Drosophila melanogaster: one gene and its partner. The gene in region 1 interacts genetically with each later gene. Each region holds a gene or a part of one and is shown in the gene's direction. Other genes may lie near its edges. The genes, in order: disp and TkR99D.

Evidence for each region.
Region 2: of disp (region 1) and TkR99D, changing one suppresses a phenotype caused by changing the other (phenotypic suppression), as found in Drosophila melanogaster (one study listed by BioGRID).

The regions. Positions count from the first base shown.
Region 1 is NT_033777.3:5,850,129-5,858,164, reverse strand, and holds the start of disp (dispatched), read left to right. Parts: upstream 1-1,853; 5' UTR 1,854-2,256; coding exon 2,257-2,412; intron 2,413-2,813; coding exon 2,814-3,821; intron 3,822-3,882; exon of another isoform or gene 3,883-3,952; coding exon 3,953-4,044; exon of another isoform or gene 4,045-4,061; coding exon of another isoform or gene 4,062-4,769; exon of another isoform or gene 4,770-4,833; intron 4,834-4,855; coding exon 4,856-5,398; intron 5,399-5,470; coding exon 5,471-6,109; intron 6,110-6,293; coding exon 6,294-7,274; intron 7,275-7,406; coding exon 7,407-7,644; 3' UTR 7,645-8,036. Other genes in the region: ECSIT, read right to left, coding at 265-1,494; CG34287 (uncharacterized protein), read right to left, coding at 4,062-4,769. UniProt on the Drosophila melanogaster protein: Segment polarity protein which functions in hedgehog (Hh) signaling.
Region 2 is NT_033777.3:29,966,403-29,971,291, reverse strand, and holds the start of TkR99D (Tachykinin-like receptor at 99D), read left to right. Parts: upstream 1-1,844; 5' UTR 1,845-2,309; intron 2,310-4,889. UniProt on the Drosophila melanogaster protein: Receptor for tachykinin-like peptides.

The DNA.
Region 1 (8,036 bases):
CGTTTAAGCTCGGCTCACAATCGGATGTTGTGAGTAATCCTTCTCAATTAACCTTATTTCATTAAAATCCACCCCAAAATGCATACAATGTTGCTTTCAATTCGCGTCCGAGCCAAAGAGTATAAATAATTACCGAAGTATTAATTTTTTTCCTTCTAGCAGATGTACATATATATGTACATATGATCAAAACCGACTAACTTTAAGCAACATTTACCATCAATTCTATGGTATACAAAGACGAAAAAGTGCTCAACAATTTGTTTATTTCTGTCTACTGCTAATGTGCTCATCTTGACTACTGTTATCACTTGTTGCCGGGACACTGGCGCCACCTTCAATTTCCTCCGCCTTGGCTGGCACTTCGGATGTGAACCGGAAGAGGACGGGCACCTCTCCTATGGAGGGATTTCCGTTCGCTTCCAACAGGCGAATCCACGAGAGCAATGAGTCCTTTGTGGAGGTGCCTGTGGCACAGATGGCCATAATGGTTCCGTCGTCCTGTTGGTGGACAGAGCGCAGCTTTCCCAGCTGGTTGTGTCGCCTTGGTGGAGCACGACCAAAGAAGGGTACTTCGATGTGGGAGACATCGTCCTCGTCCAGCTGCCGCTCATCTAATTCAGACAGGAACTCAGAATCTGCATCAGCGCGCAGGGTAAAGTAGTTGATCCGGCGATTCCTAAGCCATATGTGAAAGGGTCCCTCGATGTACAGAGCTTTCTGGCGAGAGTGCTCCCGCAGCAGTTTCTCCTGCTCGGGACTCATTCCGCTCACGATCCACGTATCGTCAATGGCATCCTTCAGCTCGCTGGTCTCGAAAACCGTGATTTTGGACCGCAGGTCGACCGTGCACATCCGCTCTAGCGCCAGCTTGGCCATTTCCAATGTATCATCCGGAACAGGATCGGGCAGTGGCCACGGTGATAGGTTCTTAAACTTTGGCATCCAGTACATCATGCGCCAATACTTGCGCAGTGGATGTCCCTGCCTGCCAAACACATTAAGCAGCATCGCCTCCATCTCGTGATCGGGCATCACCCCGCAATCTTCCATCTGCTCAAGCAGATCAATGATACACTGCTGCTGTTTGGGGTAGTGCATGAACTCTGCCTGGAACATGTTGGTGGGTATGAACTTGCCCTTGGGCATCACGTTGATCAGGGCCTTGTAGACCTCCAAGTCTCTTTCCACCCCGAAATCCGCCATATTCTTGAGTGCCGCGTAGATGAACTCCACATGGTTCCGACGGTGGACGTCGCGCTCCTGGAATATCTCCACCATGGTCAGGTAGCTGTTTTTCGTCCTGTCCTGGGCGGCGGCAAAGGGGTTCCTTAAAGCCGGCAGGTTTTTGGTGCCGGGTTTTTGTGCCCTGGGATTTGGATTCGGGTTCTGTTTCGGATTTCCCTCGTCCGTAGCGTAGTTTCGAAAGCGGCTGACCAGCGAATGGCCTCCATTGCCGTGCAGCCGGAGCAGGCATTGTGCGCGGCGCAGCATTTTTTATTTATAATTAATTAATTGAATAAATTTGCAAATACGATTACAAAACATTGCACAAGCTGCGGAACTAGTTCGCGTTTTGCAGCACTGCTGCTGCAACATATGTTTTAATAGTGCCGATAGTCTAGCGTATTTAGCCAAATTTGGTAAATTCTAGGGCGAAAAATTGTATTTAGTTTCGGCTGTACCCAAAGATTTTCAAGCTTAAATAGTGTCATGACCGTAATACACGCTTAAAGTCATACGCTAGTAACAAAAGTTGAAGTGAATATTGCATAAGCTCATTGTGACTACCTTCACGAATCTCTTCCTTCGGAGAACAGCTGTTTGTCTGGCTTAGGGCCATCATCACTGGTGACTGAGTTGCTCAACACTGTATTAACTCAGTGTATCCTTTGTGCTGCTTTTTGTTGTTATTTCACCGTTTTCTGCGTTATCCTTATTCGCATAGTTTTCGGTTGTTTTTCTGTTGTTTAAGTTAGTTCCGAACCCTGAGTTATTTGCACGGGCGCGCGCCTACATAAAAATGCAATCCAACAAGCCGATCTCTGCGGCGGAGGCCTGACCAGCAGGCAGTATCTATAACAGAAGCAAAACAATAGACTTTGGCTTGGTCCCAAGGAGCACCCACCAGCCCAACGTTATTCGAGACTTCCAGCCGCCAAGGATGCACTGAAGGGAAGCGGAAACCCAAGGAGCATTTGATGTTCCCGCAATGCGAAGAGGGTAAAGAGGATTCGGGCATCACATTCTACTGACATGTTGTGCTTCGACTCGGAGAGGATGAACTGGTACTACCACGTCCTGGCCAGGCGTCCCTACCTGGTGGTCGTCTCCATTGCTGTCTACTGTGTCGCTTGCATCATCGTGGCCCTCGTCCTGAACAAGCTGCCGGACTTCAGTGATCCCACCTTGGTTTGTCCTATTAGATTTGTCCAAAACATGTTCACTGCTTGATATTTGGAGAATATATCTTATCTTATTTTACAATTATTTTTTAAAATATTGAGCACATGGAAATAATCCGAAAATGTCTAAATGATATTATTTTATTTAAATTTCGTTATATATCTATTTTTTTTAAATATTAAGAAGTTAAAATATTTTAAATATTCACAGAATTGCTATAAGAAACTACAGGATTACTTGTATACAAACTATTCCTGTATTATATTTTCATTGTTATTATGTTATTGTTGTAAAAATTGTGGAAAATAATAAGATTAATTTCTCACTAATATGACTTATTTGATCACTTTATAATGTGATTATTTGTCATGATTAATATTTATGATTCAACATTTATTTCACTTTAGGGCTTCGAAACCCGCGGCACCAAAATTGGAGAACGACTGACGGCCTGGTACAACCTGCTGCAAGAGACTGACCACCATGGTGCTCTTTTCTCAAATCCATCGGATCTGTGGGAGAGGAGACGGGTAGAGCAGGGCTATGTGGAGACGAAGCTGCATCCGAATCACAGGCGACGCAAAAACAAGCACAAGAACAGAAACAAGAACAAGCGACGCAAGGAACAAAATCAAAGCAGCCACGAGCATCACGATGTGGCGCAGAAGATGATGCAGTTCAAAAAACGGCTGAAGGCTACTAGTTCTCCCTCTCCAAATCTCGGCTTTGACACCTGGATCGGGGACAGTGGAGTATTTCGCGACTACGAGATTACAAACGACAGCGCTTCCTCCTCTTTGGAACCCACGCGACGCACTGAGCAAATCGAATATGGCCACAACACCACCTCAGTGGACGAGGAAGAGCATCAGCAGCGGGTGCAGACCAAGAAGAGCACTTGGCGGCTCCTAAAGCAAGCCGCCACCTTGCCCACCGACGGTTGGGCAGACATGCATCGTCGCCAACCCATCGAGGGATTCTTTTGCGATTCATCGCCCCGGAAGGAGTACTCTCATTTTGTGGTCCAGCGGATCGGTCCCAACGCCACCGATTCTCTATTTGATTTGAACGGACTGCTGGCCATGTGTCAGTTGCAGGATCAGATTACCGAAGTCCCCAGCTACCGGGCATTTTGCGAGCCGGAGATGCTTACCACCGAGTGCTGCCGGCCATGGTCACTGCCCAACTACGCCGCCATGCTGGCCAACAAAAGTTCCTGTTTCGACCTTACCACGGAGGATGTTACTTCGCTGCACACGCTGCTCTTGGGCTGCTATGAGTACTTCCATGACCTAAAGATGGACAACCACTGCAACGAAATACCGCATTGTCGTGCTCCTGAAGAGTGCAAGCGGCTAAATATCGTCTTTAACGTCCTGAATTTTCTCACCGACTTTAGTTTCATCAAGTCTAATGTAAGTTATTGAGTTTAAAATAAGCTTAGACCCCAAAACTCTTTTATTAAAACAGATTTGTATTTGTCCGTTGCTTTACTCGTATTGCATTAAATTCGACCATATAATATTGGCACTTTTTTTTTTTGTAGGACTCGAATGTATACCTGAAATACGCCATGATTTTTATACCCGTGGCGCAATCCAACCGCTTGCTGCCACTGTTCCACGAATGGGAAGACGTGTAAGTATGGAGCACAGCTAATATTTGCGAAATTGATACCGGTCGATGGGTGTGGAGGGCATTACATTATTTTTAGCTTTCATCAAGGCCGGAACGCATATGGTATCAAAATAGGTGGTCAAGTTGTACTTTGTGAAAATTTTTCGTAAATCGCTGGCGATTTTGTCCAGAGTAGTGTCCTTTAGCCTACGTTCTGGATAGAAGGAGCTCCTAAACGGCTCCGTTTCCTGCAGGAAATTGTAATAGCACCCATATGTGGTCCGATAGTCCTCGTCCTTGAGAGAGTAACCTTTTTTGTTCCTATAGCGCCGTCGACTTACAAAAGAAACGAAGTCATTCCGAGAGTAATCGTTCATGTACACCGATCTACGAAGGTCCTTCACAAAGTCCTTCAGAATTCGGAAATCCACAGGCGGATACATAAAAAATAGCTTGTAGATCCTTTCGTTACACCACTTGTTGCGCTTGATGAACTGTGCGTAGTCCTCCCGCCAGTCCATTGATTGGGGCCATGTCTTTGTTTTATATTCAATGCCACCAACCTTTAGATTTGCGCAGTAGTGACCACTTATTAGAGAGGGATCCTCTTGGGTTTTCTTAATCGGGGGATTGTAAACGGCTCTTTCAGTATGATCCACATAATCCGCTCTGCTGGTGGTTACAAGCACCCTCGTCCTTGGCAATTCCATTTTAATTAATTCCTTTTCCCGTTGAACTGGATCCATTTTGCAATTTTTTTTGTATTTTTCTTTTATTTAAAAATATTTTTGATGTTTTCTGTTTGATAATAATATTCTGAATGATTTTTCAGGGAGCTGATCAACGAGCTTGTGGAAGTGGTTGCGATGGACTTGGGCCTCGAAAACGAACTCTTTAACGAGCTGCTGCTGACGGACGTGTGGCTAGTTTCGCTGGGAGGGACATTCGTCATGGCTAGCGTGTGGTTGTACACGGGATCGGCATTCATCACCTTGATGTCCTGCGTAGCCATATGCTTTTCGCTAGGACTAGCGTACTTTTTTTACGCCATCGTGCTGGAGTTTGAGTTCTTCCCCTATATGAACCTTCTGGCCGTGGTAGTAATAATTGGCATTGGAGCAGACGACGTATTTCTGTTTCTTAAGATCTGGCACTGTGTGCTGACCGAGAGGTTCAGCAATCGATGTACCTTGACCACTCAGTCCCAGAGTGCTCTTCCCACCCTGGAGAACAGTGATCACACGGAGTCACTGGAAAACATAATGGCGCTGACTATGCGACATGCCGCTGCCTCCATGTTCGTTACCTCACTTACCACCGCCGGCGCCTTTTATGCCTCCTACAGCAGCTCTATAACAGCTATAAAGTGCTTTGGGTAAGTTAATAAAAGCAAGATTAGATGAATCTTAATATTTAGTAATGCTCATTTAATAAATTATATTTTTAGGATTTTTGCGGGAACTGTCGTGGTGACCAACTACTTACTAATGATAACTTGGTTGCCTGCATCGGTCTCCATCATGGAACGACTATTTGCCACAAGGATGTCCTGCCATCATCCGATGTCAATAAAGCTGATCCACGCCTGCAAGAAGTCAATTAACCGATTTTGTCAGATGTTTGAGGAGTGCATCACGAAAAGCATCATGAACTATGCCTATCTCTGGCTGCTGATCTTTGGGGCTCTAGGCGCGTCCAGTGCCGTCATTGTGTTCTGGTATCCAGGACTTCAGTTGCCGGAAAAATCACACTTCCAGCTCTTTGTGTCAAAGCATCCATTTGAGGTTTACTCCAGTCTCAAGCAGCAGTTCTGGTTCGAGAAACCATTGCAGGCGTACGAGAACTTCAAGATGCACATGCATTTCGTCTGGGGCGTTCAAGCGGTGGACGACGGCGACTATACGAACCCCAACTCATACGGCCACCTGCACTATGACAATAATTTTAACGTATCCAGCAGGCCGGCACAACTCTGGATCCTTGATTTTTGCCAGAGTGTGCGCCAGCAACCCTTTTACAAAGAGACTCTCGGCATGCTGTTGCCCAATTGTTTCATTGAAAATCTTATCGACTATATGAAGCGCAGGTGAGCATATACAATTATATACATACTTACAATGGCTTAGAAAGCTCATTAAAACTGGGTTCAGAAAAATCGATTTTGTTTACATTTGAAAGCTGGAACTGGTTTAGATGGATTAAGACAGGAGATATAGAGACACCAATACAATTTGCAATCATTAATAGAAGCTTTTGTTCATGTTGTTCAGATGCATCGATGATATGGACAGTACCAGGAAAGACCGTTCACCCTGCTGTGACGCACAGTTTCCCTTTGAGCCGCACATATTTGAGTACTGCTTGCCACAAAGCATATCCAACATGTATGACACTACATTTTTCCGGCCCGGCGTGGCAGGACCCAAGTTTGCAGAGGCTCCCCGACTGGAGACTGAGGATTACCTAGGAATGAGTGGAAATGAGAGTGCAGAGTACAGCACCAACGGATCATTTACACCGCTACTAGTCAAAGCCCTGGTCATCGAGTTCGAGTCCAACGTGGCCTACAGCACCATCTACGCAAATATTAGGCAGTTCTACGAGTCTGTAGAGCACTGGTTTCAGATGCAGTTAAAAACGGCACCGCCGGAACTTCAAGGAGGATGGTTCACGAGCGACCTGAAATTTTACAATGTGCAGGACACCCTTTCGCACGACACCTTTGTTGCCATTTGTCTGGCCATGGCTGCATCACTTGCAGTGCTCCTATGCTTCACCGTAAACATATTGATTTCCATCTACGCCGTACTAACCGTGTCGCTAAGTATTTTTAACACCGTGGCTGTGCTCATCCTGCTCGGCTGGCAGCTTAACATCTTGGAGAGCATTGCGGTGAGCACGGCTATCGGTCTGGCTGTGGACTTTAGCCTACATTACGGTATTCACTACCGGATGTCCCCGGTTAAGGAGAGATTGGCAGCCACACAGTTTGTACTATCCCGCATCATTGGACCCACAGTGATGGCGGCCACCACAACTGGTCTAGCTGGCGGAATCATGATGGCATCCAACATATTGCCCTACATACAGATTGGCGTCTTCCTGGTCGTTGTCATGATCGTTAGCTGGTTCTATGCCACTTTCTTTCTAATGAGTCTGCTTCGGGTTGCCGGTCCTCAGCATGGTTTTCTGGAACTCAAGTGGCCGTTGTGGAGCAAGCGAAGCAGTGGCAGCAGCAAGTTCTACGAGCGGTAAGGCTTTTATCGTATTGACCCTTTCAATTTTCTATATCTCTCTGTTTTGCGTTAATGTCATTTTTATCAAGCCTGACTGACGGGTGACTACCCGTTATCGGTTATTAAAACTCGAATTTCTTTGTGCAGGAAACCCAGCCAAGTGATCGCCAGCGAGCAGCTGCTGACCCCCACAAGCTCGGCCATCGTTGAGTTGGCGAACTCGGAGACGCACGAACTGGAGTCCCTAAACTCCAACAGCCTGATCAAAACCATTTCGGGCATCGAAAGCGCCCACGCATTGTCCTCGCTGCCGAGGGACTTCGAGCACTCATTCCAGACGATGCACGAGTGCAAATATCAAACGTATCCGTCTACATCCAATTGAGTTAGTTACTATTGCCGGACAACGCGTTGTTGTTGCCAAGAAGAATCAGGCAACTGCATTTTTATACAGGGTACGGCGGCTCTCAAGCCTGCCCGAGATACATTTATATATACATATACACGCCGTGTGTCGGCATATTTAGTTTTAAAATATGCTGGCGGTGGCATATGTACGTGTTGTGCGAGTTCTACATTGATATACTCTAGATATATGTGTAATTGTACTTGGTAGGATTAGGCAAAGCTATTTTCAAAAGACTCCAGGCTATTGCAATATGCTTTTATGCTTTTTTTTTATCTTGTGACATTTCACATTCGATGCTCCAGCCAAGTGAAAACGATTTGTAAACTGAAGCAATTAGCGGGAGGTACTGGGTACTCTGGGTACTGGGT
Region 2 (4,889 bases), about 24 Mb from region 1:
GGACGAGACGGGCTTAGCGTTGATTAAATGGGGTCATCAGCAGGGCATGGCACTGGTAACGAGCGTTATCCTTGCAGATAGTTAATGATGCCCAGCTGCTCGGGATATTGGCCATTGCAGGCGTACACTCGGACTCGCAGCTCGGTGCGAGCCACCAAGTTCAACTTGGTCCATCATAATCATTATGGATGTGTTCAATGGACTGCACGTCAGCGAGAGATAAAGAAATTTAATGACCTCCTGCTTTCACTGTGTATCCTCCTTCCACAAAATGTAAGACGAGAAAATAATCTAAATGAGACATCGCCTTCAAAGCGTTGGAAAATAGTTACCTAAGCTAGTTAAGTTGACTTGTTTCATCTTGGATCAGTCGAATATGTGTGCCAAACCATGGTGTAGGTCATCTCATTTTACATGCAACCCATTCGTTGCTCAGTTGTTACAACTAAATGGAGTGATTGATGGGACATTGATGCATGTGCAGCGGATGAAGTTGCGGGATTCCATCTCCGCCAGCAAATTAAGACGTCCGAATCTGGCGAAGAGGGGGAGGCATTTCGGATTCATTGCTTACTTTAGGCATTTTTGGCCAGATCAGCCACCAACACCTGCGGCTGTCTGGTGTGAAAGAGCCAAGTCATTTGGCCAAAACTAACAAACATACGCTCTGCACTGAAAACAATTTCTTTGTATGTATGGTAATTGTAAAATTGTAATTGTTTTATCAAAATGTAAATAGAGACATATTCTGTATGGAAAATAGGAGAATTTGCGGTTTTATACCCATAATTTGGCTAAAATCATAATTACAGTCAGTTTTATACATGTTTTTTGGAGCCTGTGACCTAAGCAATCGATCCAAATCACTTTTTAATTGATTTCGAAAAATTAATTTTTGGACCAATTTTCGCAAATTTGATAAGGGGTACCATCATTAAAATTTGCTAAAATTGGCCAAAAATTTATTTTTCAAAATCAACAAAACTTGAATGCCAATCGATTAGGCATGCAATTACGAGCTCAACGAGGTATTACATTCTATATTTTGATAAATTAATCCAAAATTTTTCGTAGCCTTTCCACTTGGGAAAGTGGAATTTTAATGGGAAATGGGAATTTTAGCCTTAGGACTTGGCTACCTTAGCAAAAATAGCAAATCACTTTGCACTGATAATCAAGATGTGTAATCTATTTCAATGATATACCCCTATTGAATTTGTAAACATGCATTCTAAACCTAAAACAAATTATTCGAGTGTATTGATAAACATCTTCCTTTGAATGTGGTATTAAACGCTTTGAAAGTGCTGTTTTGGAAGCGATATATTCATTGTGCATATGTGTGTATATTTTGTAAGACATCTTGGTCATTTGATTTTCCGCTTGTGCGTGGCGTGCACGTGGCAGAATCGCCGGAGTCCGGATTGTTTACGAATAGCCGTATGACAACAGAGAGCGAACGAAGGCAGAGCGAGAGGAAAAGATAGGGCGCAGGCGTAGAAAGAAAACACTCGGCAACACTGGTGAATTTGGGCGGGTTTCCGTTCGATTCCGTCGCAGATTTCAACGCTTTTCAAATGGAAACGTTGCTCATTGCTCCGATAAAATAAAAGGCCCTCAACGCAAAGGGGTTACGTGAGCCCTAGTCCCCAGTGCAACATCCCAACATATGCAACAAGCGGCCGGAGTCCCCGAGGTCCACGGGAACCCCCCCCGCCGCAGAAAAAAAAACCGCCCACTTTTTTGTGGCCCTTATTATAACACCGACATATCAGCGCGCACAGCCTCAGAAAATTCCGGCTGGCATTCAGTTTTCCGCTTTCCGTTCAGTTCAACGGCAGACTCGCGCGCGTACGGTTCGAACTGAAAAGGCGACGGGTCCGGATTTTTTGGACTTGTCGGTTCTCCGGGTTCTCGGTTCCTGAAATTCGCTGATGATAGGTGATAGCTGAAGCTGGCGGAGAAGTGTTGGAAAAATGCTGGAAAATCAGCTTAGAGCTGGCTGAAATGCCGCCGGCAGTCGATCCGTAAACGTAATTGAATTCGGCCCAGTGGATTGAAAATCAAATTCAATTTCGTAGCGAGCAAACACGCAAAAACGATAAACTAGTCGTTAAAGTGAATATACAAATTGGTGTTTTGATTAAAACTAATAAACATAAACACCGAAACCACAGAGCAGCAGAAGGCGAGCAGCGGAATTTATTTTTAAATACGATTTCTTTGTTATTCGCTGCCTGCAATTGGCTGACATTGCTCATACGCCGCGTTGGCCGAGCGAAGAAGTGGGGATTTCAGCATAGTTCCTGGTAAGCGGTCTCCCACTGCCCAAAGTATTTTGTTTTTTTTTTTTCATTCTCTTTCCACTCATTATTGTTTTTCCATATTACAAAAACATTGTTTTCGGGAGGTGGTGGCTTGAATTGCAAAGTTTATTGCACAAACCAAACCGAAATTGGTTTACAAGTTTATGGAAATTCGAGTCGCCAAAGTAATTAGAAAACTGCTATTTGTGGACAACTTTCGGCTGCCCTGGTAACTTTAGCTCGAAATGTAATTACATCGAGAGCCTAATCAAGTGACTAACCCAATTCGAAAGATCAAACTGTAGGCCATTCCCATTCATCCCGATTTTCCACTCAATTTGAGCAACGAGTTCCACGACTCCAGTGAGCTGAGAAATAGTTAACCGATGGCCAAAAACCATCACACCCAATTGACTTTGCCCGATGAAAAGGTTCTCCGATGATCTCAGATTTCGGAAATCTGGTCGGAAGAGCAAATCTCCTGGAATGACAATTAATTCGATTGCGATTTGCGTTTTTTAGGCCCACGGCGGAATGGAAATAATCTTTTTAAATAACGCACCAATTCCGTACATCCTGTGCCATAAAATAAAGTAAAATAAAATAAAACCGTGCGCATTGGCTTATCCCTTGGGTATTTTCACATGTGCCCAGCTCTGATGTTTATAATGCAAATAAGCAAAGTGTTTCAAATGTATTTATTTTGGGGTCGAAGGCGTTTCAGCGCTGGTTGTTTTTTTTTTTAAGCCATTTAATTTTAAGGGGAACGTAAATAGAAGCCTTAAATGCATGCAAACTTCCTGGCTGGATTTTATAGAGTTCATACACAGTTGATATTTAAGAAAAATGTAAACCAAAGGCAAACGAAAGTGTATCTCTTCGTTAGATGTTAAAACTTGATTAAGTGTTTGAGCAGTTAATTAATTGAATTTAATCAAGTACTTGTGGCCAAATGAACTCCACCCTGCAATCAATCGGAAATTTAAGTATAAATCATCAATCAAATCAAGGCATTCATTACCTCGAAGGTATTTCGCTTGTGAACTCCCGACATAATTGCCACTTTAATTGAAGAAAATTAATTCACTCGAAGTGTCCATTTCCAGCTTTCCTTCGAATTCGAAGTGAAGCGCTTTCAAGTGAATCCGCTGGCCAAACAGCACACTTAATTGCTCCTCCGAGATTCCAGACATCATCTAACTCAATCAGTGGCTGGCACAACTTTCTCCGCTTCTAAATATTTAATGTCAACTATGATTAGTGAGGAGGCAAAGTCCTGTGGTTTTAGGCATGTCGATGTGGGATGTGGGCTGTCGGATGTGGTCGGGGGTCTTTGGATCCGGATAAATGGCTGTTTGGCGGCCAAATGAACGCATCCGCACAAAAGCTTTGCCGACGGTCAGCTGAGCAAACCGAAATCCTTTCAGCGCGAATTGCTTGCGGAGGAGCAGGAGGGGATCCGAGGCCATTAGTTGGCCCCAAAAGGCGGCCTTTAAAGATTCAGGCAGGCGTGAACGGATGGGTATCTTTAAGCGAATACGAATGCGAATCAGTAATAAGTGAGTGGGGTGCCGTATGTTCCGTATGTCCAGTGCTGCTCCACAGTGCTGTCATGCATCAAAACATTTAATTAAATTGAAACCGATGCGGCATCCGCCCCACTGCTGACGTCTTTGCCCGGCCACACTGGACATTGGCCAGTGGACACTGGACTTTGGACATCGGAGCGAAGGAGGATGTGCTGCTGGAGGTGGAGGGCAGCATAGCAGGTCCTTTGGCGCCGGAGACGTGTGTAACTTCGGCTTTCTTCCCCAGCTTTCAGCATTCAGCATTCAGCTTTCAGCTGGACACCAGTTCACCATCTCCGCCCCGAATGAATTTAAATGAAGGCAGTGCCGGTCCTAAACAAGTCCGTGAATCATGTGCATATTTTAGCGGTGCTCAGTTGAGTTCGTCCCTCTTTTATGCAGCCCCATCGAGCTATGCAGTGTCCTTGTCGGTGGACAGGACGTGTATTCCACAGGGATAGCCTTTAAATAAATGGGTTAATTCGATGGCATTGTTCGCACACCCAGCACATGTGTCCACAAGACAATTGTCCAATTTATTGGCATTGAACAACTTTGTGTGTCTAATATAAAATGTTGCACATAACAATATGCAAATAACACTTGTGGCAGCATGTTATTTATGACTTTGTGAAGCTTAACTTTAATTTGGCATTTGGCCTTTGTCAAATATTTCATTTGATCGTAGATCCGAATAAAAATTCAATTTTTTCCCAAATGAAGTCGAGCGAATTGGTTAATATTTCCGGAGACGAAAAAAATCTATCAATTTTGAATAAGTGAAAGTTAAAAGCTCCAGCTGAGAAGTCATTCAATGGGCAAAAGCAATACAATTCAAAACTGAAATGTACTCAGTTGCCCCTCGGCCTCGCCACTGCTCCCCATCTTTCCACGCCGAGCAGATCTGCCAAAGAATATACACCGACTGGCAGATGATTGAAATGGGAGTGAGAGCCACAGCGCTGGGAATCGAATGGGGGGAATGGGGAATCGGAGGTAGCCTTTCTTCACTTCT